Canis lupus familiaris: one gene and its partners. The protein of the gene in region 4 interacts with the protein of the main gene of each other region in a pairwise test. Links are inferred from orthologs where the notes say so. Each region holds a gene or a part of one and is shown on either strand. Other genes may lie near its edges.

Region 1 (4,020 bases), on a different chromosome or scaffold from region 4:
CCTGGCCTCTCTTCTCCTCTTTAGTTTTAGCCTCGACAGCCTTGCCCCACTCTCTCCACCGTCCACATTGCCCAGGATTATCCTCCTGAAGGAGAAATCTCACTGTGCCATTCTTTAACTGGATCCACACATCCTGCTCCGCAGAAGACCTTGTCCCTTCACCTGCTATGCGGAATCCTTCACACCCTGTTCCAGTCCCCCTCTCCACCTCACCTCTCCTGCGGTGGAACCCCACAAACTCTTCGGAAGAGGACACGACTTGCCTTTCTGTGGCTTTGCAATACCTTTTCTCAACCTCTGGCCACCCTTAGAAATATTGTCCTCAAATGTCTCCTCTTCTGGACTGCGTACCCTCCCTCCGCCCTTGCCCCAGTTAAGCGCTGGTAGTTGCTTTGCCTTCTGGGTTATACCTCCACTTTAGTGTTCTTGGGATCATAAGACCTGTTTTATGTGTCTCCCAAAGTGTCCTAGAAAGCAGGGGCCCTGGGAATTCGTGTCTGTGTCCCTATCGCCTAGAACAGTGACTAACACGAAATAGGCATGGATGCATGGATAGATGGACGGATGCACACATAGACGGGAGCATAGGTGCATGGACGGATGCCGGCTGTGATGAGAGCAGATGGAAGAGATGGGTAGTCAGAGAACACAGGCAAGCAACCCTGCAGATGTGGGACAGACAGCAGAGGGAGCTGACACACCACAGTAAGGAAGCGGACGGACGAGCCGACGGAGGCTGAGAGCCTTGAGGTGAGCGGCGCGCGCGCCGGAGCGAGCATCACGCAGCTGGGGCTCCTCCCCCACGTGTGCATCCCCGCATCCTTCTCCCCACACCGCGCCGGGGCTCCTTCCTCCGCTTCCACCGCCCGCGTAGCCCCCACTGCCTCCGAGAAAGCAAACAAAGGGGAGGGGACCCCCGAGGCGCCCTGGCCGCAGGGAGCCAATCACCGGGCCCTCGCCCTCCCGGCGGGCGGGCACCTCGGTTCCGGGGAGCCCAATCGGTTCCCGCCGGGGGCGTGGAGGGGCGGAGAGATGGGCGGGCAGAGCGGGCACCGGGGACCGCGCGCGCCGGAGGGACCCCTTGGGAGCGCGGGGCGGGGCCGCGGCGGGGCGGGCACGGGGGCGGAGCCAGTCGGCGCGGCGCGCGCGGTCTGGGCTGACGCATCGGGCCCCGGTTCCCCCGGTTCGGAGGGGGCTCGAGGGGCGGGGGAGGGAGCGAGCGCGGAGGGCGCGCGTGCGCAGTGGCGCGGGGAGGAGCAGGCACCCGGCGGCAGGCGGGGAGGCTGCGAGCAGCCGCGAACCGGGCGGGCGCGCGCACCATGGGGGAGAAACCGGGCACCAGGTAAGGGAGGTGGGGCCCCGCGGCGGGACGTGGGCGGCGGCGCGGGGCGGGGGCCGGGGCGGTCCTGGGACCAGGACACCGGGGGAGAGGACCGGGGGGGCCGGGTCCCCGGGGGGACAGCCATCTGGGGCCGCGCGCGTCGGTCCTCGAGGATAATGAGGGGGACGCATGTGGGGCCCTTGCAGACGGCGAGGGCTGGAGGGGAGCAGGAAAGCGGCGTCTGGGTTCCCGCAGGGATGTGGGGGCCGGACAACCGAGTTCTCCGGTGTAGGCTGCGATGCAGGGGCGGAGGAAGGAGGAGCAGGTGGCCGCCCCGAGGGGTCGGGTATGGGAAGGCTGGATGCTGGGAGGGGATCCCCCCTAGACTCGTGCCGAGCTGCGGGAGAGCCTCCTGGCCAATACCCCACAGGCGGTCGGGCTGTCCCAAGGGCCAGGTGGCTCTGCTTCCAAACTTCTGCCTTCCCCCAGGTTGCTAGGAGCAACAGCTTCATCTTGGGGGAGCAGAGTGCATGACGACCCCCCACCTCCATTCGGGGCCTTACCCCTCTTCCCGGAGGTGAGGGGAGACAGTATCTGCCCTGGGCACGCCATCCACTCCCCGGATGTTTTCTGTGCAATCGAGGCTCCTTCCTTCCACTGATACCCTGAGTTCTCTTTTTTGGTCTCTAGCAAAATCCACTTCCTGTTGTGGGCCAACACCCCCAGGGGGATAGTGGGTGAATGCCTGAGTCCCTGGGGAGCAGGAGCAAAGGAGGAAAAGATTGGGGCACTATGCCTTTATCCAGAAGGCATCAGGAACTGGGCCCTGGTCCCCAGACGCCTCTTTTTCTGCAAAACATTATCCTATCAGCCCCACCGCTCCCCACCCATAGAATAGGAGAACCCAGGTTTCTGAGCCTCAAGTCGAGTCATATCAGAAAGAGATGATCAGAGGCAGGACTGCTGGCCTGGATTAGGGCTTATAACACCCCCAAGAAAGGGGAAGTTGCTGAGTTGAGGGAGGCCCCCAATTTCCGTTATGTGGTTCAGGGAGGAGGATGGATGGACCAGAGGGGTACTGCTGACTTGGCATAATTCCTGCCACCCCCATCTAATTCTGGGCCACAGGAAATGGAGAGAACGTCTGCTGCTTCCAGCCCCCTCACTAGGCACCTCTGGGCACCCCCACACTCTGCCTCCTTGGCCAGCTGAGGCTCCTAAGAGCAGGTCACCCTGCAGCTGCTCCGGGGCAGTTACCCCAAAACTATAGTCCAGTGACTTTCTTCCTAATAGGAGAAACCCTGGGAAAAAAGGAAAACTAGAAGCAAAAGGGAAAGAGAGCTGGATGAAGCCATAGCTGTTCGCCCCCAGCTTGGGACAAGAGGTGGTGCTCATTGTAGCTGCCATCATTACCAACGTTTACTCTGCTTCATTAGGTTGGGATACCTGGGGACCCCCATACCCTTTGCCTCATGACCTTTGGACAGCCTGGCCTTCTGGGAAGAAGCAGCAAGTGAAGTTGTTAGAGCAGAACTGGTGGGGAGCGGGGGGCGGGGGGGGGGGGGCGGCTGGAGGAAGGATGGCCTAGTTGGCAGGACCTCACTGTCTACTATCCGAGGACTCTGCCCTGTGATGGCCACTGAGGTATAGCGGATTGGGATGGGGAAGGTCCGACCTGCAGGTGGCCAGAACATAGGGGTCACCAGACACTTGCCTACCCTCTCAGCAGTGGGTAGAGCCCAAGCTGAGATTGTTTCAGCTCCAAGGCTGGGTGTTGGGGCAGGGAGTGAGGGCAGGGAGCTCTGGCAATTAAACAAGTTTAATGCCGATTGCAGAGACAGGAGAATATGAAGTTTTAGCGATAAAGAGCATGGGCTCAGAGCCACATTGCCTCTGGTCATCTGAGTCCCACCATTTACACCCTCTGGGGTCTTATGCTCAATTCTTCAGTCCTCCATGCCTTGGTTCCCTCACTTGGAAACTAGGAACATTGGGACCTCCGTCATTGGGTCGCTAAGAATATTAAATGAGATAATACACACGAAGCTCTTAAAACAGTGCTGAGCACGGGGCATTCACCCAACAAATGCCAGCCAATGTCATCATCTCTATCGTCCGGTTGCATGGCAGTGGCAGCCCGCCCCCAGGCAGTGTGCTGGGGGTGCTTAACTGAATAAAGCTTCTAATGAAGCATCGTCTACCTAGTGAGGCAGATGTTCAGATGATCCACAGCTCACAGCCTGTGCATGTTGTCACACCACCAGGAAAACACGAGGCAGTGTAACAGGAACACCCCTTCCTCCCCCAAAAAAGGAGTAACCAGGGTCCGGGCTGGATTTGCTTTCTAAAGGAGGTGATATCTGAGCTCAGCCTTCAAAGACAAGGAGGCTCGGAGGCCGCTGGGATCAGGGATGGGGACAGTTGGAGGTTAATGGAGTAGGGTCACACGTAAGTAGTGCCTACAAGTAGAAACCATTTCAGGGGCAAAAGCAGGGCCATTGCCTTTCTGGGTACTCCAGCCATCTTTGGAGCTGGAGACCGGAGAAGATGGAAGCAGGGCCAGGTCTGAGACAGACACTCCTACAACCTGCCCATTCAGGCCCCCTGGGGGGTGGGGGTTGCACTCAGAAGAGCCTGGGTGGTTCCTGCCATTGCCGTAGGAGGAGGGGAGCTAGTAAGGGTGGAACGGGGCCAGGGGG
Region 2 (4,223 bases), on a different chromosome or scaffold from region 4:
CTGTCATTAGGTGACTCTGCTTTATTTTTCCTCCACAGCACTTATGTCTACTTAGCATTATATTTATGCAAGCTCCATTGGGGGTGGGGGGATGTGTTGCATTTATTATTATGTTCCTGACCGCTGTAACAGTATATAGTAAGGTCTCAATAAATAGTTGATGAATGAACATGTGATAGCTGCCAGAAACCATGCTAAGCGCTTGGGATTATATTATTGAATCTTCTTAACAGCCCTTTGAGGTAAGTGATGTTGCTATTCCTGTTTGATAAACAAGATAACTAAGTCTCAGAAAGATTAAGAAACTTGCCCACAGCCAAATAGCTGGATATGGTTGATTGGGTTCACACCCCGGACTATCTCTACAGAGCTGGGATTGCTAATTCCTCTGCGGGGCAGGAAGTCCTCAGCCAACCTTGTGCAGCCTCGTTCCTTTATCAAAGCTCAGGCACTGGGAGAAGAACGAGATGTTAGATCAAGAGATTCTACAGAGTGAGAGGAGATGGATTTATGTAGATTCTTAGTGTTTAGTTTTTGAGGGAAGAGCCAACTCTTAAAAAGTAAATGTTGACACACTAGACAGAGTGCCGCACAGATGGAGAATGTATACTGTTCACAAAGAGAAAGTACCATCCAGATAGTCTTGTAAAAAGTGGATCAGGGTCAGTAAGCTCCTGATGAGTCTTATGTTGACCGAGATGGGTGAAAAAAAAATCAGTATTTTAGGCAGAAAGAGTAGGGGGAAAATGAATTAACCATTCTCTTAGCTAAGTTACTCAACCAGTGTGGGTCTCAGTTAGTTTATAATTTGCATTCCACCTACTTCCAAAAAAATTGAAGGAACTAACAACAAAATAACTTATTAGTATTACAAACTAAAGAGCAAAAATCATAAAGAAGAGAAAGACCTTCAGATGTATCATCCGTTTGTGATAATCCTGTCAGAAGACAAGCATCAGTAGCTGAAAGAAGAGGAGGTATGGGTCTTATTCTCAGTGTAATTAAACCCTCAAATGTATGAGCTCTAAGAATGAACAGAGAAAGAATAGTCAAAATAATAAGCAACCCCCCTCCAAATGCATTATTTAGTATTCCTTCAAGAGACAGCACATTTATTCTCCTAATTATATTTTGCTTATGCTTACATGAAAATTGCTCTGCTTGCCCTCAAAATCACCCAGCAGTTAGAGGAGAGGTCGGCCCATGGGTGTCCTTGATTGGCAAGGGAAGGCCAATAGAGGCTTAAAAATTGCCCCAGATGTTTCACAAAGTAGAAAATAGACCCTTACCATTGACAGCTAATGGTTAAGTGAAACTGTGAATTTCATGCTAAACCAATGTTAGGATAATGTTTTCTAATCCCATGAAAATAGTTAACAGCCCATTTCTGTTTGTCTTTGTCCAGATGTGGGGATATGATCGTAGCCGTCAACGGCCTGTCAACTGTGGGCATGAGCCATTCTGCACTCGTTCCCATGTTGAAGGAGCAAAGGAACAAAGTCACTCTGACAGTTATCTGCTGGCCTGGAAGCCTGGTGTAGGTTTTGAAATTGGTTTCTAGTCAAACATCTTCCCTTTTTAGACTTTGGAAAGAAATCTCTTTCCTTGTGTTGTGTTTCTGGTTAGGAGTGCCAGACTCAGCTGGTGTTTGCAGGGCCCAGAACCACTCAGATTGTCCTTTTGTTGTTGTTAAAATGGCTTTCTTCAAGTTAGCCACATTTCTTTTAGCTTGGAAACAGTCTTTCATTAACCCTTGTAAGTTCTTATTTTCAAAATCCAGACTCCCCGTTTTCAGAATGTGACCTAAAATAATGAAATAATGAAGATCGCGCAAACTGTGACCTGGCCAGCTGGATGAGAGGACCTCAGGCAGTTCTTTATTTCCCCTCCAAGTCCTAGAATGAGTTCCATGCCCCAGCACTGGTGTCTGTGAAGCCAGTAGCGGTAGCTTCCTCTGCCCCTGCCTCAACCAAGGCCACAAATGGATATGTTTTAAATTTAGCTGGTAGCCCTTCCCCATTTTTTTCCTGTCGGTGCCAACATTTCAAAACTTCATACTGTTTGTAAAAAGTGATTTTTCTGGACTTATTTTATTTCTCCTTTATTCTCTTAGTACTTGTAGGTGATGAAGACAGAAGTCTGACACTACTAAAGAGCTTTTTAAAAAATAATATATCATTAATTAGAATACTAGATAATAAAAAATCACGTTTTCCAGTGACAAAGGCATTTGGGAGGTGATTACAGTTTAGTGCTGGAGATGGTAAAAGCCACACTTACTTGCACAAGTCCAGTAGCATTTAAAGATTCATTTCCAAAGGAATGATTTGTTATGCAGGGAAATTTTGAAGCAGTTTTTGCTAAAATTCATTTTCTAGAGTTTGTATTGTACTTATCAGCAGTCTTGGCTAGACATGCTTTTTGTGATTTATGCAGTTAAACTAAAGATAAAACTGTGTTGCTATTCAGTACACATTCATATGTATCGCAGCTCAGTGTAGGAGAAGGTATACCTTTTTTATTTCATTCCAAGAAAAGCCTTGAGTGTTCTAGAAATCCTAAATTTTTTCCCCATTATTTCTTGTGAACTTAATTATTTTAAGAAAAAGACTGAAAAGTCCTGGATTTTTATCTAAAATATTAGGTTTTAGATATTAATATCTTTCAGTCAGTTCTTGGTCACTAGGCTACTTCTTATTTTTCTGTTTTTGAAAAGTACCATCAACCCCCTTTGTTAGCCCTTCATTCCACCTGGTTGTCCCTTGGAAGAATACATAAAGAAGTAAGATCAAAATATCTTTACCTTATTAATATTATCCATACTTGAAAAAGTTTCACTTAGAAATATAGTTCAGAATCTGAGCTCATTTACAAGTGACCTCTGTAATAAATGGTATTGATTATCAGAGAATGTATTTTAAAAATATGACAGTATATTATGAAGCATGACCACTTGATTTTCAAACTAGCAATTGCATTGCTAGGATTTATCGTGTCTATAGCATGTCACTGATTATTCCTGTTAGTTTCTTAGTAATTTTTTTTAAGCCTGTCTCTTTTGAATAAATAAGAAACGGCAACAATAATTGCTACTGATTTGTTCAACCCCTTAGCTACACTGTATGATCAACATATAATGAAGATACAGTGGAATGCCCCATACAGTATATTACTGTTATGTGATGATTGGCTTTTGAAGCAATTTGGTATTGAAATGCTTTGATATTCTAATTGACATGGAACAAGTTTTTTTTTTTCCCCTGCTCCCCAAATAGAATTTTCTATCCTACTTTGCTATTTTTTTAAACATTTTGTAAGAATGTGTCATTTCTTGGGGAGTGGCCATCCATCAACAAATATCCTAATGGCTACTTTGTTATATATAAAATACTTCCATTGAACCTGGGGATATAACGAGTATTTTGAAAGAAGACACTTTTTTCGACATTATTTTTATCATGGAAATCTCAGACTCAGCCTAAGCTAATTTGGTTTTATTACAAAACATGGTAGCTTTTGGTCAGAATGATATTTGGTGATGGAAACTTGTTCATAATTTATTATTACTGTTGAAATATTTGAATTTTCTCATCTTAAGCATAAATAGTTCAAATATTTTGATTTGTTCTGTGCCTTTGGTTTAAATTATTTCAGGATTTTCAAATGTGTTTAAATAATGGTGTGATAATCAGGATGGAAATAAAAGTCATCCTTTCCATACTAGTGACATTGTCTCTTTTCTTGAGTAGCAGAAGTTGACTCAGTATGTGATCTCTGTTTGTTCACGATCCCTCTGTCCTCATTTCAGTGGTCCAAGCTTTGGACCTCAGAATCCTAAGTCCATCTTCTGATCCTTCCTCTTATGTGCATAACACGTGTGATTGTTGGAAGTTTTGCCCATGCACTACCTCTGGACCTGTATTGTCCAACATGTGTGGCCACTGAATACCAGAAATACTACCAGGCTACATGTTGAAGTGATAATACCTTGGATATATAGGCTGATATAAAATATGGTGCTTTTTTTTTAATTTTTATTTTTTGGTGGATTTCCCGTTAGTCTTTTTCTATGCATTTTTTTTCCAGTTTTATCAAGAAATAATTGACACACATCACTGTGTAAAATCTGAGGCATAGAGTATGGTGGACTGAATTACCCATATTGTGAAATGGTCACCACAAGAGGTTCAGCTAACATCCACATTCTCATATAGACACAGTAA
Region 3 (3,983 bases), on a different chromosome or scaffold from region 4:
ACACATACGTACGTCTATGCTTCATCTATATCTGTATCTCCATCTACATGTAATGCATATGCTAGGTTGGAATCGTGTTTTCCAGACTTTCCAGAACACAGGCACCCAGAGGCTGCTTTGGGCGGACAAAATTTGGAGTGGCTGCTCCAGAAGCAGGCTCAGGGTCTGTCTGCGACAGGCTGGCACTCTGATGAGGTGCAGAGGAGAAATATTCTCCTTCCACTCACCTAGTGAAGGATGGAGAGATTCCTGAATAAGTAGATATCCACGCGGTGCTGTGTATGTGGCTGGGGGTGAAACTGGGATTCAAAATCACATCGGCGCAGCTCCTTTCACTATCTTCACTGAGATAGTCCTTCACTACCTGCCTACACAACAGGGCCTCTACTGGGAAACGTCTTCCCGCCTCCCCCAACAGGCCCAGAATACCTACAGATGATCCCTCTGTCTGTGGTCCCAGGGCATTACTGCACCGCACGTAGCTGGTTGCACACAACTAATTCACAATGTTTGATCAAATTGAGAGTAGAGCTCCTCTCATCTGCACTCCTAGTATCTCCCATGGAAGCAGGCATGGGGTAATTAAATAGTATTTTTGAGCGCTCATTACGTGCCAGCAAAGGCTTTACATGCATTCTCTCATTTAAACCTTAAGACAACTCCATGAACGAGGTGATACTATTATTCCCATTTTGCCTTTCAGAACACTGAGGTCATAAGAGTTAACTGGATTAACTCCAGGGCACAGAGCGAGTGGAAAATAGTACCGAGATTCAAGTCTAATTCCCAGAATGTGCTCTTCGTCGCCTGTTCTGTTGTCACCATCTTGCTCTGAATGTTCCATGAGCAAATTCCTACTGTGGGGAGTGGTCCCAATCTGAAAAGCTCCCCCTCAGTCAAAGTCCCCTCTTTATGCCAAGCTCAAGTGTGAAGCTCCTGTCCCGTGGAGAGTCTTCTCATGTACGACCTCCACCCTCGGCCCCCACAGTGCATTCCTTCAGCACGCCTTGGCCACATGGTTTGCACCGTGCTCCGATATGTGGCCCAGTGCTGGGCACCCAGAATGCAGCTTATCAACATTTGGTGAACTGGATTCGGCGCCCAGGGATGGATGTAAACAGCGATAAATAACAAGGTGGCATATCGTACTGGATACTCTATTTCTGGATTTTCTAGGCGAATGAGTTCCAATTTCTAAAATCCTATCCTCCCATCGGATCATTGGCCACAGAATATGTGGCAGAGAATATAGCCTGGTATTTTGGTTTGAAGAAGCACCTGGCTGGCTCAGTCTGTTGAGCATCCAATTCTAAATTTCGGCTCCGGTGGTGATCTTGGGGTCATGCTCGGCAGGGAGTCTGCTTGAGGATTCTCTCCCTCCTCCCTCGCCCCTCCCCATGCTCTTGCTCTCTAAATAAGTAAGTAAATAAATAAATCCTTAAAAAAAAAAAGGTAGAGTCACCGTTCTACTGCAAAGAGGCAGGAATAGAGACAGGATGTGCCCTCTGTTACTCACCTACCCACATGTTGGCAGGCAAGTCAAATTTCCCTGGACCTAAGTCTCTCCGTGAGTAAAACTGCAATGGCAATACCTATTTCCACTACAGAAATGAAGCAAAATAGGTGAATATGTTTCGGATACTGATGAGGAATAATGTTATATGAATCCAATTACTGTTAGTGGGGTTGTTTATGTTTTTACTGACCTGTTGGACCAGTAAAAAACAAACAAACAAAAAACCCCAACAAAATAAAAGAAGCAGTTTTTAGTTTTGAAAATGAAGGAAGAAGTTTCTTGTGAAGAGTAGCGCAATAAAAAAAAATCAGGTATTAAAAATGTAGATATCCTGAGGGCCTTTCTGGAGTGTTTTGAAAAAGACATACCTAGACATTCTAGCTTTTGGCTGTCTTCAACAACTTGGAGGGGCGGTGTGGTGGGTGCTGGGGGGTGGGTGGTCGGGCTAAGGGTGGGAGGCTGGGCTGGGAGAGTTAGGAGCAAAGTGTCTCAAATCGCAAAGTGTCTCAAATCACATGAGATGTTCCCTGGAGGGGGAGGCGGGACTCTTACCTTTGCTGCACGGTGAACCGGTTCCCAGTCGTGTGAGGCCTCGGGTGGGGGGCAGTCCGCTTGGGAGCTGATCTTCTGTGGCCCAGGGAGATTTTCTCTCTCTTTCCTGTGTCTCCTCTTCCAGACAGGCATGAAAACCATTCGGCCTTGGAGGTAATCAGCTCACCTCCTGCCCCTTTTGCAAGGCTTTGTGTCATGCTGATCCATGAACCCGAGAGCAGCCTCCCAGGAGCTTCCAGGGAGAGCAGCCCCCCCACCGAGCAGCGCTCATTAGCATCAGTGACTAATCTGTTCTGGTCTGGAAGGGGCCCAGGCTCCCTTGACCGTCCCTGTGCTCTCAGGAAAAGCCAGGATCCTTTTGTTCACCTTTCGGCCTGCCAAGTCAGTCCTACCGCACCCCTGAATGTTGTTTTCCTGCAGGCAATGGGAAAATGAGCTGGGAGCCAGAGAAGGGAAATCAACAAGGAAGTAAACACAGGGTTCACTGCACCTTCAGGTCCAGGTCGTCCCCAGGGCCTGGGACATCCTCGTGCTGGGACCAGTTCCTCAACAGGCAGGGGCTGCTGCCTGGACGGGCCTCAGAACCCTGGGCGTCTTCTTATTTTTAATTATGCAGAGAAGCATGAGCTGAAATGGGTATCAGACAAATCAAGGCATCCCGACTCGTTCCACGGCCTTGCCAAGACTTTAAAAGATTTTCCATAGGCAGCATCTCTTATAACGGAACACGGCCTGATGTTTGTCAGACAAAGAAGAAAAAGATGAGCAAGTTCATGGCTGATATTAGTTAAGACCTTTAACTCTAAAGAGACAGGACTGTTGTTTAAATAAAAGGTAAAAAAAAATAAAATAAAAAAAGCAGTTTTTATTTTTGAAAACGAAGGAAGAAGTTTCTCGTGAAGACTAGCACAATAAAAAAAAAATCAGGTTTAAATAAAGGTTTCTCCTACTTACTCGTGAACAGCGGGGTCAGCATCCGCAGCCCAGCAGCATCTCTGCCAACATCTGTCGAGGGCTGACTGGCTGCAGGGTCCTGTGCCATGGCCTGACCTGCATTATTATCTCATTTACTTCTCCACATAGTCCTACAGTTATCATTCCCATCGTATAGGCGAAGAAACGAAGGATTCGAGAGCAAAGTGCTCCGGCCAAGCGCTCCAGAGAGGTGTGAATGGAAAAATTGCCCTTTTGGAAGTGTGGCCTTCCCCACCAGTCAGCTTCAGGACTTCTGTTCACTGGCATCTCTGGCGATGGCCAAAGAGCTTGCTCCCTGGGGCTGTGAGTTCGATGCCATCTTTATATAACTTGTTTGTAGCACACACCGGGCTGGGCACCTCCTCTTGTCTCAACCACAGTGGGGCTGCTGGCTGCTATAGACCCGGCTCCCCCCTTGGGGCTCCTATTTACGCACAAGGAAGTGGGCTACAAATCTCTGGGCCTCTCTGTGTGCTTTGATCATGGTCTGATTGTGAGTATGCCCTTCTGGTTTTAGGAGCCTAACAGTTATGAGCTTCTTTTAATCAATAATCCAAGGGATGAATGACAAGGAGTTCACAGCCTGAAAACCTCTCCCTGGTGAGAAAAAAAAAAAAAAACACAAACCAGCACATGTGTTCCCAGTCCTCAGGTCACACTGCAACGTGTTTTGGTTTTATTGGCCTCCTCCTTACTTCCAATTGTTAGCATTTAGCTCTCCTGTGCCACGGCGGTTCCCCGGGACAGCTGGCCGCTGGTCAAAGGAAAGTAAAACCGTTAATTAGGAGACAAGGAGATGCCTCCCAGCGGGGTCAAAGTTGTCTGTTTTTGTAAATATAGGAGTTGCGACATCAGGGCAGTTGCTCACCCTTGTTACCCTGGGGTTGGTTTGGGTGGAGCTTTGGGGTGTCTGGCTCTGAGGCCACATAGGCCTTGAAAC
Region 4 (3,500 bases):
GCTGGGCGAGTTCCACTTCCGAGCTCAGTGTTCAGGCGCATTTTCCCTTAGCAGCACCAGCATGGGTGATCTCTGGCTGTAAGCGAGATAACTGGCATAGGGGTGGGCTCATTTTAGGGCTGGCCTGTAGATTTTTTTTTTTTTTTTTTAGTTTTTTTTTTTTTTTTTTTGGCCTGTAGATTTAACCACCACAGAAACATAACGTTTCATATGAAAGTCCCATTTATAATAAGCATGTGATTTTTAAGGAAATTTTTGGGATGGCCCAATGTGAGCTGCGGATTGGGTACAGGGGCTCTAACATGAACTGTAAACCTGAGCTGGCATGTCCTTATCCAGGACTGGTCTCTAGGAAGTGGCTCAAATTACTGATTTTATAGTTACATTTGGACAGATGCCTTTAGGGTGTCTTGAGGTCATGTTATAATTAAGAGGACCATAATAGCTCCATTTTGGGGGGGGCTAATTTCCCTCTAATTATTTTGATTCTGAAAATGATGTAATATCACACTTATAAAGAAATCTTTAAAAAGCTACATATGAAATGAAAGCCACATGATACATAGATTAGACTCTCCCTGGTGATTTTAGTGTCTTCATGCCTCGTTATGGTTTTAACTGTTGACTTCATATGTAATTTAATTTTCAGCCACCACCTCAGATTTACGATGCCCAGTTGGAAGAAAGAGAGCATGCAATTGAAGAGTGGAAAGGTAAAGAACAGAGCTGATTTTGCCACTCGCTTGCGGCACTTTACTCTCAGCAGTAGCCTTCCTAGGGTAGGAGCTAGGGACCATGCAGCCCCTCTCAGCCCATCTCTTCACAATCCCTAGCACAGAAGAAACTTGCAGATAACAATTAGTGAGGAGCAGGTATGGATTGCATATTGTTTGCTTCTGAAGACTGTAAGATAAACCAAACAACCCACAATAAACTAAACCCATAATCAGGAGGTCAAATAACAATTTTCCATTAAGAAGCAGAATCAGTAGTAGTTGAGAACCATGGTCAGTGCAGGTCAAAGGTGGCAATGTGCCCTGCCCAAGCAGATAATGTTTCCTTGCTCCGGGGCGTCCAGAGTGCCATGACCTGCATGAACACATGCTCAGCAGGCCGACACACACAGGCACAGCCTGTGGCCAACGGTTGGCTCATAGGCCTCCAGAAATGTTTGCAGTGTTCTCATCTTGATTCACAAAGGCCAAAATTTTAAGAACCCCTAATGCTTCCTTAGTATGTTGTTAGCTTTTCTCACAAATCAGAATCAAGGAAATGGAGGTTGAAGCCAAGAAATGACTGAGGAACTTGGATTAATTTCTGGCCAGTCTGGAGGGGCTTCTCACCCATAGATAGATATCAGTTCCTTTTGGAGAATCCCAAGTAACAATGGAGAGAAACATGTGCAAACAGTGTGAAAGCATCCAGTACTCTGAAATGCTCTGTGAGAGCCCTTTTGCTGGTCTCCAGCCCCTTATAAAACCCCCTGTGGGTTCAGAACTGCCTACGTTTTTGGCTGCCCTAACAGTTGAGTTAAAGACGTGGGTGTTTTGGTTTTTGTAGGTGATACTATTGAGTTAACCAGATGATATTATTGAATTAACTGTATACCATAATTAAAAATAAGGCATCACAGTGCCCTTGGAGTGGTTCTGATTGATTAGAAAGCAGGGTTCAGAGACACAAAGAAACTGATGAAGCCTTTTAACTTGCATTTCCATTTGAAGAACTGATTTATAAAGAAGTGCTGGATTGGGAAGAAAGAAGCAAGAATGGTGTTGTGAAAGATCAGCCTTCAGGTTAGTGATTGCTTTAATAGTTTGATCTTAGCACCCCCTCAACCCCATTTCCAAACTGGTAGCAGTGCGCTAAATGCTGGCTTGACCAGCACTGGGCCTGAAAGCTCCCCGAGGTAGATGGTCTTCCTGTCTCAGTGTGTCGTGGTAGCAGCAGCTAACGGGTTACTGATGTAACAGGCACTAAACTGTGTTATAGACATCCCTGCTCTGCACTTGTCCCTGCTGCTGTCAGCTCAGTTTACAGATGAGGGAGCTGATTTAAAATGTTACCAATTTGTGTGACCCTCTTTGTACCACCACACACACACACACACACACACACACACACACACATACACACAGTGATTAAAGAAAATTAGCATGAATCTAAGCAAAATGGAATTTGGTTTTCTTTTGAGAAAATCATTCATGTGATTCTCCTGTATTTGTACTTGGTCTGCCTGGGAATCTGTTCACACCGTGTGACTGTTAGAGACCTAACACATGTGTCAGTAGGATCCCACCTGCTTCCTAAGTGAACTCCTTTGAGTTGTATTTATCTTCTCACTTCACATCCTCTGCCACCCCCCACCTCCACCCCCACAGGAGCACACGCACACAGAAGTGCAGATTGCACCGTGTACTCATTCTTGAATTTTATATTCAGCATGACATATGTGTCAAGCATCTAGAGATTATGTAACTTTAGCACAGATTTAGGTGCTGTGGTTAATCAGGCACAAATTTAAGAATGCAAGCACTGGCCTCCAAGAGCTCGACTGTTTTATTTTTGCTCAAACCAGCCTAAAATATGGACAGTCGGTAATGGCATGGTTTTGTGTACTTCAGAAATCAAAACATCAGTATTGGAAAAAAAAAAAAAAAAAAAAAAAAAAACATCAGTATTGGGGATGTAGAAAACAAAAATAAAATGAACAAGAGGCCACTAAATTTTTTCCTTTTTTTTTTGTTTGTATACAGTCTTTAACAGTTTTTTTTTTAATTTAAATTCAGTTAGCCAACATATAGTACATCATTAGTTTCAGATGTAGAGTTAATAATTCATCAGTTGCATACAACACCCAGTGCTTCATCACATCACGTGCCCTCCTTAATGTGTATCACCCAGTTACCCCATCCCCTCACCCACTTCCCCTCCAGCAACCCTCAGTTTTGTTTCCTAGAGTTAAGAGCCTCTTATGGTTTGTCTCCCTCTCTGATTTCTTTCCACTCCATTTATATTACAAAAGAATTCTTCAAAGGTTCCTGTTTTTTCCCTTGGACAAAGTGTTGATGATTATAGCTGAAATGTCTGATGACCGTTGAACCCTATTTGGGCTTCAGCCTTTTGTGACACCTATATTTGTAGGATAGATGCAGCAATTTTCTATTAATATCTTTTTTAAAGAAGCATATTTTTCAAACATTATACACATGCACAGATGTGATGTTTAGCCACTAGGAAGAAAAGGAGAATGTTGTAGGGACAGACAAGAAATTTTTGGAATACTGGACCCAAAGAGAGACTCCAGAAAAAGTTGGGCACGTGTAGCAGGCTCATGGGTTGTTAGTACGAGCAGTTAGGCTGGGGGGCCACAGAAGCATGGAGCTGAGAAAGGCCTCATGTCTCACTGCCCGAACCTGCAGCAGTGTCGTGCCTCAGATTTTATTATATTTGGTTTTCTTAGCACAGATGCAGCAGTAAGTAGCAATGCCACTCCTTCC
Region 5 (3,037 bases), on a different chromosome or scaffold from region 4:
TTGGCCTGGCAGTGGTGTAGCAGGTGTGTCCTGAGCCAGGGTCTGGCACCTGGTGACGGCAGTGGCTCCAGTACATTCTGGGGCACTGGTAAGGGGCAGAGGAAGGGTGTGCCCTCTCCTTGGGGAATAGTTAGGCCCCACCTTGGGGAATAGCAAGGACCACAACTGATCCCATAGTGGCTCAGCAGAGATGGGAGACATGGGATCCAGCTGTTGGGATCATCATTACTGCAGTTCCTGTATTTCTTGGGAATGTTGGTCCCATTGACGGAGTCCTGGAACAAGGCAGGGCACTGGGGCTGACATCCTCCAGGGGAGACAGGCAGGGGACAAGCAGGTGAGGGTACAATGCTGGGCAGCCAACACCTACGGCACACAAATTTCACCCCTTCCAGGGTTTATCCACCTGTATTCCCTGGGCAGTCCACCCTGCCCTCCTTCCCCGCATCCGCCTGAGGGAGCTCTGCGGATGCACCCTGACAGGCACCAGGAACCATTCCTCAAAGTTGTCAGTTTATTTGCTTCAGACACCGATTTCCTCTGAAGTGGCCAGGCTGTCTTGGGAGTCGGGGGGAGGCGCCAGCCCTCAGTGCCCCCGGGCCTTCCTCCGCACAGCCTGCACCAGCAGCTCTGAGTAATGTTCCAGCAGGGCGTGCAAGTCTGGGCTGGCCAGGGGGCACAGTGTCGGTGGGGAGGGGGAGCCCAGGCCAGGCTGGGCCTGGGGTGGGGCCACATCACTCCTCAGCAGCCAGCTGTTGGCCTCTAACTGGCTATGGATCCAAAGGAAGGTGGAGGCCAGCTCAGTCCGTGCCTGCCGCTGCTGATCAGTGCTCATCTGGTCGTTGGAGACCACCTGCGAGGGGTACCGACCTTGTCAGGGGCCACCACCCAGCCAGCTCAGGCAGGCTGTCCCAGGGAGCCCCCTGGCCCATGCCTCTGACCCCGGGGCTCGGCTCACCAGGTTGTAAAGGTCCATGGCTTCTTGGAAGGCAGTCTGCAGTCTGTGCACGATGGTGCTCACACTGCTTAGTTCAAGGGGAGTTGGGGGCAGGAACCTCAATGGCCCCCCAGGGTCCTCCCAGTGTCCAGGGCCGCCCTGGACCAGACTGAGCGCATCTGGGGTTAGAGGGGAGGGAATGAGAAAGACACCTCCGCTTTCCAGCTGGTCTCAGAAAGGCCAGGATGGCTGGCTGCTCTCAACTGCTGTCCCTCCGCCTGGAACACTTCCCTCGGTCCCCTGAGGCTCACTTTCCTCCCGCTCTGCTCAAGTGCCCTCCTTCTCCAGATTGAAGACTTTTCTCATTATCCTTCTCTAAACTGTAACCACTGCCTCCCTGCTTGTTCCCTAAGCCCTCTCTCTTATTTCTGTCCTTAGCACATACTCCTTCGTGACACACTAAACACTTTGTTTCATGTCTGGCTGTCTTCCCAGTTAAGGGGTCAATTCTTTGTGGTCTTGTTAACCACTGTGCCCCAATGCCCAGAGTCTAGAACAAAGCCCAACATGTATGAAGTGCTCGCTAAAGATTTAAGTGAACGAATGGTGCAGCCCCCGTGGCCAGGTCAAGTGCCCACCGTTGGAGCAAAGCCAGCTGTACAAGGGATGAGCCTTGCCTAAGAGTGGTACTCACCAGGGGCGGGCTCCAGGAGGGAGGTGACGCTGCCAGGGACCCCGGGCCTGGTCTCTGGAAGTGAGGTGCTGTTGGGGTGGGCAGGGGTGTTGGGGGACTCAGGGACCAGGAGCCTCGGGAGAAAGGTGGAACTGTGGAGCCCCAGGGAGCTTGCATCCACGGGGCTGGGGACTGGGAAGGTGGCTGTTGTGACGCTGGGCTGGGTGGCCACAGGATCCAACGGGGGAGGGGGCAACAAGAGCCTGTCGCAGATGCTTGACAGGGTCAGCTTCAGGCTGGCCCGGGCCTCGTGGTTGCCCCCTAAGGAGAGCAAGGCAGGTTCTCGGCCCTCGCTGTTAGAGCCCGGTGCTGCCGCGGTGGGGATGGCCTGGAGCTCCTGGCCCAGGGACACCAGTTCCCCAACGGAGGACGGCCTGGGGAGGGGCCTGGCCAGCTCAGCCAGCACGGGGCCCTCACTGTCCTCGAGGGAGATGCTGCGTGACATCTTGGCGCGGGAGCTCGCAGCAGCCGCCATGTAGGAGTGGGAGGAGGGGCTGTGGACACCCTGAGTCAAGCCTGGAGTGGGCAGGGCTATGGGCGTCAGAGGCTTCCTGTCAGCAGGCAGCACTGAGGAGGGGGCACAGGATGCCAGGCCTGAGAGGCAGGGGGCTGTAAAGGAAGCAGCCAGCTCACTCTCACACCCCAGCCAGAGAGCCAATGTGAGGGGCCACCCCAGGAGGCTGCAGGGGCTGAGTGGCCTCTGCCCATCCCTACTGCCCCATAGTTCAGATGGGCACCGGGGCCATTTGCTGAGATGCCCAGGGCTGTTTATCTGCAGATGGGGGCACTCACTCAGTGGGAACCAGGCCTCCAGTGTCTCAAGGGGCTCCTCAGCCTTTTTCCCAGTGAGGACCTGCAAGCACAACCAGGAGGTGGGGACAAGAAGGCCTCCTGCTCCCAGCCCTAAATCCTGAAAGAAGTGGCCCCATACTCACGCTGGTTCTGCCTGGGGAGGTGTAGCCAGCGCCTACTCTCAGAGGCTCTGCCCTGGGCTGGCTGCACCCAAGGTCCGTGAATTTGACCTCTGGGGACTTCACCAGGTGCAGGGGCAGTCGGGGAGGGAAGGTGTGGGTAAACCTGTGGGAAGGAAAGCAGGGGTTTGTGGCTGGCCTGGGGGCTCCTGAGGGGACACAGTCCTGTCCTGCGAGAGAGAGCGAGCTTGGGTAGGAGGGGCACCTGCTCCTACCTGGATGTTTTCTGGAGACGTGAGAGGAACTGAGCTGAAATGCTAAGCCGGGGATTGAAGAAGTCTTCAGCCTCAGGGGCCTCCAAGTCTCTCAGGGATCCATGGAAGAGCTCTAGAGGAAGAGGCCAACGGAGCCCTCAGAATCCCTCCAGCCGCCCAGCCCTGAGCCCAGGAAGACCCA
Region 6 (3,500 bases), on a different chromosome or scaffold from region 4:
AGGAGGCGAGGCTGGCCTCAGCCCCCCACTCTGATGCACCCTGCCTCCCCAGGCAGCCGCCCGCATTCCTACCGAGCCTGGCTGAGGGTGGCTGAGGGAGGGCACTGCGGCTTCTTAGGGAGTGGGCTGAGTTTGCCACCTGGCGGCTGAAGAGCGTATTGAGCATCTCCATCTCCAGCCCAGGCAACTCCAAGGTGTGGGGAGATGGGACCCTTCTCCCTGGCTTCTCTGTCTTCCTTTTCTTCTTCAGACCTGAGACCAGGGGAAAGATAGGGGTTCGTGGGTTTTTGAAGGGGGCCTGACCGGAGCAAGGAAGAGGAACGACACTGAGGGCCACTGCCTTCACCCTATGCCAGTGTGACATTTTAAGTCCACATCAGAGATACTACTGATAATGATATAGCAGCTATCGTTTATGAAGGGCCTATTAAGGACCAGACACTATTCAGGGTGGTGAACATGTAGGAACTAATTTAATCCTCTCAGCAACCCTGGGAGGTAGGTGTTGCTACTGTTGCCATTTTACAGATGAGGAAACTGAGATCCAGGGGTGAATTTTCTCAAGGGCATATAGTTAGTAAGGGGCAAGCTCAGACCTTCAGCCTGGCTGTCCAGTTCTAGGGGGTGCAGGTGAGAAATGGGGATGCTGGCACACCCAGCACATCGCAGGCACTGCCTCACCAGATCCCATCCCCTCCCAATCCTTGTATCCTCGTTTCTTCCCTAAGCCCCTGTCCCTTTCACTGAGTCCCATCTCATCTCTGGGCCTCCATCTATTCACTGGGTCCCCATCCTTGTCACTGGCCTACATCCCCCTGATTGAATCCACACCCCCTCACTGAACCCCGTCACCTCTCTGAGCCCCCACCTTTTCATGGGGTCCCTCTGCAGATTTTGATTTAATAGATATTTGGAAGGCATTTGTTATATGGCAGGCACTGTCATAGATGTTGAAAACACAGCAGTGAACAATTGAGATAAAAATTTTGCTCCTTAAGGAGCTTACACTATTAAGTAAAGTAAGGGATGTGGGAAGTGAAACATAGTTCCTTTCTCGCCATCCTGCTGGCTGCCAAGGCACAGATCCACATGAGGGACTGCCATGGGGTGGTTCAGCTCCGCTGGTGTGGGAGTTAAGACCGGGACAAGATCAAGTGAGCTGATCCAGGAAGGTTTCCTGGAAGAGGAGGTATTTAGCTGGGTCCTGAAGAAGGAAATAAATGAGGGTAGAAGCAGGAGGAGAGTATTGCAGGCGGGGGTCCGGTGTAAGCAAAGCTGCAGAGACAGGACGAGATGAACCACTGAGGATGATAGTGAGGAAGTGGGGGTGGCTGTGTACACAATGGGGGAGGATGGAGTGGGGCCAGGTGGTGACAAGGCCTCTGTGTCCACCTCTGCAGTTTGGTCTGGATTGTAACGCCGGGGGAGCCATGGCAGTCTCCTGAGGAGGAAAGGGAGGGTTATGAGGAAGGAGGATGGAGGCAGGTGACTCTGGCTATCTTTTGCTCTGCCCATCTCCATTAGGAATTCTGTGCGCCTGGTGATCAGGAAGGTTCAGTATGCCCCGGAGAGGCCTGGCCCCCAGCCCACAGCTGAGACCACCAGGCAGTTCCTCATGTCGGACAAGCCCTTGCATCTAGAAGCTTCCCTGGATAAGGAGGTAGGAGGCTTGGACTTGGCAGGGGGTGGGGGCTGTTCTCCTGGGGCTGGGACATCTCATCCCAGTTCTCTCATGGTCACCAGGGCTCCTGGGGTAGGTAAGAGCTTCTGCCCCCAGTCCTAAGACCACAGGGTTCAGGGAATCTGAGACATCCCTTAGGGGGCTGTGGGGAAGCCTCTGGGGGCCTAAAGGAATGGCAGAGTGGGGCATGAGCCTGAGGGATACAATCGACTTTAGAAGTCAGCGTGCCTCCTCTCTGCCTCTCTCTCTCTCTCTCTCTCTCTCTCTCTCTGTGACTATCATAAATAAATAAAATTAAAAAAAAAAAAAGAAGTCAGCGTGCCTCCTGAAGGGACCTGAGTCTCGGCCGTCTTCCTGCACCCCGTCCCCCTCTTAATGTGTGGGCACTGCCTCTCTCTCTCTCTCTCTCTCTCTCTGTGGATAGCTGAGGGCAAGTGTTGGCCACAGATTTGAGTTGAGGTCCTTCAGTAAGGATTCAGAGCCAGTTCCCTTGGTGAGCAGGCCCGTCTTTCCCCACCTCTCTCTCCTGCTTCTTCTAGGCCCTCCTGTGTCTAGAATTCCTGGCATCCCAAGCCAGCAGGGACTTGATACATCACCTAGTCCAAGTCCTCCAGATGGGGGGAAGCCGAGGCTTAGCCAACCTGTCCAAGGTCACACCGTGTTCATCCTCTTTATCATTATTATAATTAGTGTTCTCATTATTTCTGGTCACCAAGTCCAGACTAGAGCCCAGGAATATCACCTCCTCATTCAATTATCTTTCAAAATCCTGACAAAGAACTGGTCTAACATGCCCAGTGACTTAGCATCAGTGGGAAGTGGCTGATGAACTTGAGGCCAACGTCAGAGTGGCCAAAGTCTGGGGAACCCTAGGATATATGATGGGGCCTCTTCTCCCTCCATCTTTCTGGAGCTTTAGTATCCTCTGGTCCAACCCTTCTCTCTTCTTCTGCCTCCCAGATCTATTACCATGGAGAACCCATCAGCGTTAATGTCCACGTCACCAACAACACCAACAAGACAGTGAAGAAGATCAAGATCTCGGGTACCCCGGGTGGAAGGCCACCCCATGGGGCCAGCAAGAGGGAACTCTCCCAAGGGTTGGGGGTGGCTGAAGGTTCTCCCCTTGTTAACAGCCTTGTAGATAACTATTGGCCCGCAGGAAAGCCCAGGGCCTACTCTAGGCCAAAGGGAAAGGCTTTTGAGGCTAGTAACACAGGCTACTCATTGGCCAGGTAATGAGTTTACTGTTTAAGTCACCTACCCTCTAAGTTCCCTGGGTTCTGGGCAAAGCTGTCCCTGAGGGAGACCTTTGGTGATGGAAGGGAACAGGTGTGTTCGGGCTACCCTTTGTGTGGAAGATGAGGGTGGTCTCTTGAACAATCTCCCAGTGCACTCTGGCCATTCTTGGGGCTGAACATCCCCAACTCAAGGGAGCCTGGGATGCCCGGGAGCTGCAGTCCTGGCTCACACCACCTTGTCTCCCTCTCCCTCTCAGTGCGCCAGTATGCGGACATCTGCCTTTTTAACACAGCCCAGTACAAGTGCCCTGTGGCCATGGAAGAGGCTGAGTAAGTGAGCACAAGCCCATCCTTGGATGTGTGGGTGGGGAAATGAGAAGCCCTGGCTGTAGTTACAGATGCAGATGGTTCTTTTCCACCTGACAGAAGGCTGGATCTCAGACTTCCTTGTCGCTCAGAGTAGATCATCCCAAATAGCCTTTTAAGAAAACACCTGCTTGGTTTAGCTACAAGAAAATACATGCCACAGTCAAGGGACAGACCCATTAAAACTAGAATGACCAAATGAGACCTAATGA
Region 7 (4,275 bases), on a different chromosome or scaffold from region 4:
CAGCCTAGGGTGTGATCCTGGGGACCCTGGATCGAGTCCCACATCAGGTTCCCTGCATGGAGCCTGCTTCTCCCTCTGCCTGTGTCTGCCTCTCTCTGTGTGTCTCTCTCATGAATAAATAAATAAAATCTTAAAAAAAAAAAAAAGACACTGACAAACTGTTTTCTAGAGTGGTTGTACCATTTTACATCTCTACCAGTGATATATGGGAGATCCTGTTTCTTAGCTTCTCCAGAATTTGTCATTAGCACTGTTTTTAATTTTTAGCCATTCTGATTGCTATGGAATGAATTGTGTCATCCCCCTCATTCTTATGTTGGAGGATGACCCCCTCAATTTGACTGTATTTGGAGATAGGGTCTTTAGGAGGTAATTAAGGTTAAGTGAAGGCACAAAGGTGGGGACTTGATCTGGTAGGATTAGTGTCCCTATAAGAAGAGACACCAGAGATCTTGCTCTCTCTCCCCTTGTGCACACACACACCAAGGAAAGGCCATGTGAGGGCATAGTGAGAGGCACCCATATAGAAGCCAGAGTGAGAGGCACCCATATAGAAGCCAGGAAGAGAGCCCTTACCAGAAACCAAATTTGCTGGACGGACGCTTGCAGGGTGGGGAGAGAGATGCAGCTGAACTCTGAATATAGGACGGGCGATTGGGAATCTACAGCCAAGGAGCCAGGGTCAGTGGGTGGAAAATTAGTAAGAGCAAACACCAGGAGTAAGGGGATTCTGGCTAACCTGACCAGGCCAGGGGGATCTGACATCACCAAGGATGGTGGAGGACAAGGAATCCAATCAGATATGGGGGATTTGAGGGGCGGGGGGTGTTCTGGTTAAAATGACTTAGCTGAATTCTTCCTAAAATTGGGCAAGCGTGAGTAGAATTTGGTCCCTGAGAGAATCTTTGTCAGCTCTTTTCGTACACTGGGCAGACCCCTGGTTTTTAGGATTCTTAGCAAAGGCTAATATATGTTGAGTCCTTATAACATGTCAGTCAGATGCGATGTGAAGTGTCTCAGATATGTCTATTAGTCCTCCCGAGAGTCCTGTCAGGCAGATAAAAGTATCCCCAATTCAAAGTTGAGAAATATGAAACTCATATAGATAGGCTTCTACACAGAGTAATAGTGTCCGAATTCGAACCCAGGTTTGTCCTATGATCACGTGCTAAACTGTAAAAAGGGCAATGCAAATGTCAAATATAAGCAACAAGATTCACCCCTAATTCCAAACGCGCTGGGACAGGCCCTCTGCGGACACCCCGGAAGCCCCGCGCCTAGCCCGCGGGCGCCGCAGCGAAGGTCTAGCTCCGCAGCTGCACTGTGCAGCCTTACCCCGCGCCGCGCCGGGAGGGGCAGCCCCGCCCACCGCTCCGCTGCAGCCAATAGCGCCCGCGCTTCGGGGGGCGGGGCGCCCTCTGATTGGGCGCCTCCGGGGGCGGGGCCCAGCTGCCCGCAGAGGGCACGGAGTGGAGCGCGAGAGCCGCTGCGCGCCAAGCTCTGGGTTCCCGACTCGCGCGGCAGGTGTCACGTGGCGGGCACAGGGCCGGACGCGGGTCGGCGGGTCTCGGACTCTGCTCGCGGCGGCAGCAGCGTGGTCGGCGGCGGGTCTCGGGGGCGCTGGGCTGTGCGGGACCCTGTGCCGGTAGGTGGGCTGCTTCGGGTGCCAGGACCTCGGTGCCCCCGGCGCTCTCGGGGCGCTTTGTGGTGTGCGCCTGGCAGCCGCGCTTCCCCCGCGGCTCTGAGAGGCCGGAAAAAGTGAGCGGAGGGAGGGCGGCGAGCCCGGATGCTCCGGCCTGGTCACGGGCCGGTGCGCTAGGGGGTGAGGGCGGTCTTTGACTCAGACGCGAAGGCTGATTGCTGCTGGTTAGGTAGCTCTCCACTGAGCGCTTCTTTCGTAGAGCATTTTTTTTAAAAGATTTTATTGATTTATTCACGAGAGACACAGATCGAGAGCCAAAGAAGCAGGCTTCCTGCAGGGAGCTCGATGCGGGGCTCGATCCTGTGACTCCAGGAGGATTCTGTGACTCCAGAAGGCAGAGCCACCCAGACGTCCCTTGTAGAGCATTTTAAATTTAAGTACACCCCTTCACCTGAGAATCCCCTGAGCAAAGCTACAGGCGGAGCGCTGTCGCGTAGCCGATTTTACAGATGGGGAAGGTGAGGCTCGGAGAGAAGAGCCGACTTGGGCGCGACCCTGCAGATGGCAAAATGGCAGAGCCCGGAATCAAACGGAAGCTCCCCAAGCCTGCACTGTCAACCACTGCTTACAGGGTCGCGCTACTTTTGGTGTGAACCGAGCCCTGCGGGGGCGGAGCTGCGCCTGTTGTCTGCAGTCTGTCCTCCGTCGCCGCCCTCCCCCCGCCCCCCGCCCTCACTGTGCTGGGAGACAAACATTGCACTGTAGGGTTCTTGGCTCCACGCCCTGGCCTTCGAGGTCCTAGAAGTTAAGTGACCCTTGATCAGCTGGGGCCAGCACCAACATGTGTCTTTAATCAGGCAGTTGCTGGACTGGAAACACCAGTTCAGGTTCTTATGGAATCATTTTTTGAATTTCTTACCTGAGGGAACATGCACTGGAGGTGGGCAACCTGTGCTTTTATTTAGTGCAGTGTCGTGAGGATGTTTGGAACTAAAGGTAAACTGGACTTCAGATTCTGACTCTTTGTTGTAGGACCTTAGACCACTTAGCTCCCTGAGCCTCGGGTTCCTCCTCTGTAAGCTAGATAATGAAAAATCTGTGTATGGGACAGACCGATGACATTCAATAGGGTGGTTCCCTCCGGAGACTTCTGGCTGGTTACGCTTGTGTGACAAAGTCCTGGGGAAGATTTGGGGCCATGGGGAGGTTGATGACCTTGGCAAGTAAATTCAGGTCTGTTTCCCTGGGGTTGAGGTGAGGATCATGCCACACGTGAGTGACATGTCCCCCCCCACAGAAATATCCAGCATTAGAGGCACCTGGGTGGCTCAGTGGTTGAGCATCTTGTCTTTGGCTCAGGTCATTCTGGGGTCCTGGGATCGAGTCCTACATCAGGCTCCCCACAGGGAGCCTGCTTCTCCTGCCTATGTCTCTGCCTCTCTGTCTCTTATGAATAAATAAATACATTTAAAAAAATATCCAGCATTATAATGATAATAATAGCTGCAGTGAGCTGTGTGCTCCCAGGGTGCTCAGCCCAGGTTACTGAGTGGTAACAAAGATGGCCCAAAGGTCCCTCCATTTCTTTAATAACTGTACTAGATGATAGCTTTTGAGTACTTCCTCTGTGCCTGGCAGTGTTCCAAGCACTCTGTGTATGTCCGGTAGCTCATTTGGCTCTCCCTGCCAAATCAGAACGGTCTTCGCTCCTGGGTTTTATATGAGGGGACTGAGAAACAGAGGTGTCAGTAGCTGAGCTGCACATTAGGAAGTGGAGAGGCTGGCTTTAGCACAGTTTCCTTGGGTGTGGTCTTCACTGTTGGGACATGAGAGAGTTGGAGGGGTCCAGCTTGGGAGATGTTCACCATCTGCTCTTTTACATAAGGAACCCTGGTCTTCCCCTGTTGGGTTTCTCTAGTTGTTAGTTTCAGATTTCACAGGCAGACTGAGAAGTGACTCAAGACCAAGGTTTCTAGAACATAGTTTGAAACCTTGTAAAATACATCCTGTCAAGGTGAAGAATCTGTTCTCCATCCCTGCTCTCACCCTTGGTCCTTCAGTGTCATTTCTTGTGCCTCTGCTTTGTTCTCCAAGCTTCAGGCATGTGGGCCTGATTTCTGACTCTTGACAAGTCAAATTTCTTCCCATTTTAGGGTCTTTGCACTAAGGGCAATAAGGTGAGGAGCACCTTAGGAGGATAAGGTTTCAGCCCAGGTACTTTCGATGGCCTGGTCTAAAGAAGCCCTCTACCCGTTTATTGTCCTTATAGCAATCACCACCCCCTGACATTACCTTCTGTATTTCTTGTTTACTTGTTTGCTCCTCGTAAAAGCAAGGCCTCTGTCTTTTTTGACGTATATATTCTAGTAAGTTCCTTGCTCAGTGCGTAGGACATAGGAGCTCCTCAATAAATACTTGTTGCAGGAGTGAATGAATTCACTGTAGGCTGATAATAGTAGTAGAGTATAGATCTCCTAAATATCAAAAGCTTGTTTTGAACTGAATGTAGAATTACTATATGATCCTGCAATTCCACTTGGGGTCTTCACCCAGAGGACTGAAAACAAGGTATTTGTTCATCTTTGTGGCAGCATCACTTACAGTAGCCAAAAGGTGGGAGCAACCCACTTGTC

What was found.
Region 1: the proteins of MAPK9 (region 4) and ARRB2 interact in binary tests that used the Homo sapiens proteins (3 or more experiments, as listed by UniProt). The two-hybrid records come from large-scale screens. The link is inferred for Canis lupus familiaris from reciprocal best matches to the Homo sapiens genes MAPK9 and ARRB2.
Region 2: the proteins of MAPK9 (region 4) and LNX2 interact in binary tests that used the Homo sapiens proteins (3 or more experiments, as listed by UniProt). The link is inferred for Canis lupus familiaris from reciprocal best matches to the Homo sapiens genes MAPK9 and LNX2.
Region 3: the proteins of MAPK9 (region 4) and LNX1 interact in binary tests that used the Homo sapiens proteins (3 or more experiments, as listed by UniProt). The link is inferred for Canis lupus familiaris from reciprocal best matches to the Homo sapiens genes MAPK9 and LNX1.
Region 5: the proteins of MAPK9 (region 4) and WDR62 interact in binary tests that used the Homo sapiens proteins (3 or more experiments, as listed by UniProt). The two-hybrid records come from large-scale screens. The link is inferred for Canis lupus familiaris from reciprocal best matches to the Homo sapiens genes MAPK9 and WDR62.
Region 6: the proteins of MAPK9 (region 4) and ARRB1 interact in binary tests that used the Homo sapiens proteins (3 or more experiments, as listed by UniProt). The link is inferred for Canis lupus familiaris from reciprocal best matches to the Homo sapiens genes MAPK9 and ARRB1.
Region 7: the proteins of MAPK9 (region 4) and SHMT1 interact in binary tests that used the Homo sapiens proteins (3 or more experiments, as listed by UniProt). The two-hybrid records come from large-scale screens. The link is inferred for Canis lupus familiaris from reciprocal best matches to the Homo sapiens genes MAPK9 and SHMT1.

Annotation. Positions count from the first base shown.
Region 1 is NC_049226.1:32,043,136-32,047,155, reverse strand, and holds the start of ARRB2 (beta-arrestin-2), read left to right. Parts: upstream 1-1,220; 5' UTR 1,221-1,319; coding exon 1,320-1,342; intron 1,343-2,614; exon of another isoform or gene 2,615-2,757; intron 2,758-4,020. UniProt on the Homo sapiens protein: Functions in regulating agonist-mediated G-protein coupled receptor (GPCR) signaling by mediating both receptor desensitization and resensitization processes.
Region 2 is NC_049246.1:12,133,556-12,137,778, forward strand, and holds the end of LNX2 (ligand of Numb protein X 2), read left to right. Parts: intron 1-1,405; coding exon 1,406-1,541; 3' UTR 1,542-3,723; downstream 3,724-4,223.
Region 3 is NC_049234.1:46,944,372-46,948,354, forward strand, and holds the start of LNX1 (E3 ubiquitin-protein ligase LNX), read right to left. Parts: upstream 2,801-3,983; 5' UTR 2,069-2,800; intron 1-2,068.
Region 4 is NC_049232.1:1,736,426-1,739,925, forward strand, and holds part of MAPK9 (mitogen-activated protein kinase 9), read left to right. Parts: intron 1-649; coding exon 650-713; intron 714-1,724; coding exon 1,725-1,796; intron 1,797-3,463; coding exon of another isoform or gene 3,464-3,468; coding exon 3,469-3,500. UniProt on the Homo sapiens protein: Serine/threonine-protein kinase involved in various processes such as cell proliferation, differentiation, migration, transformation and programmed cell death.
Region 5 is NC_049222.1:117,439,456-117,442,492, forward strand, and holds the end of WDR62 (WD repeat-containing protein 62), read right to left. Parts: intron 2,969-3,037; coding exon 2,857-2,968; intron 2,748-2,856; coding exon 2,606-2,747; intron 2,524-2,605; coding exon 2,463-2,523; intron 2,280-2,462; coding exon 1,632-2,279; intron 1,117-1,631; coding exon 959-1,116; intron 854-958; coding exon 587-853; 3' UTR 501-586; downstream 1-500. UniProt on the Homo sapiens protein: Required for cerebral cortical development. Plays a role in neuronal proliferation and migration.
Region 6 is NC_049242.1:23,399,682-23,403,181, forward strand, and holds part of ARRB1 (beta-arrestin-1), read left to right. Parts: intron 1-1,524; coding exon 1,525-1,660; intron 1,661-2,641; coding exon 2,642-2,726; intron 2,727-3,179; coding exon 3,180-3,252; intron 3,253-3,500. UniProt on the Homo sapiens protein: Functions in regulating agonist-mediated G-protein coupled receptor (GPCR) signaling by mediating both receptor desensitization and resensitization processes.
Region 7 is NC_049226.1:41,434,465-41,438,739, forward strand, and holds the start of SHMT1 (serine hydroxymethyltransferase, cytosolic), read left to right. Parts: upstream 1-1,475; 5' UTR 1,476-1,645; intron 1,646-2,491; exon of another isoform or gene 2,492-2,638; intron 2,639-4,275. UniProt on the Homo sapiens protein: Interconversion of serine and glycine.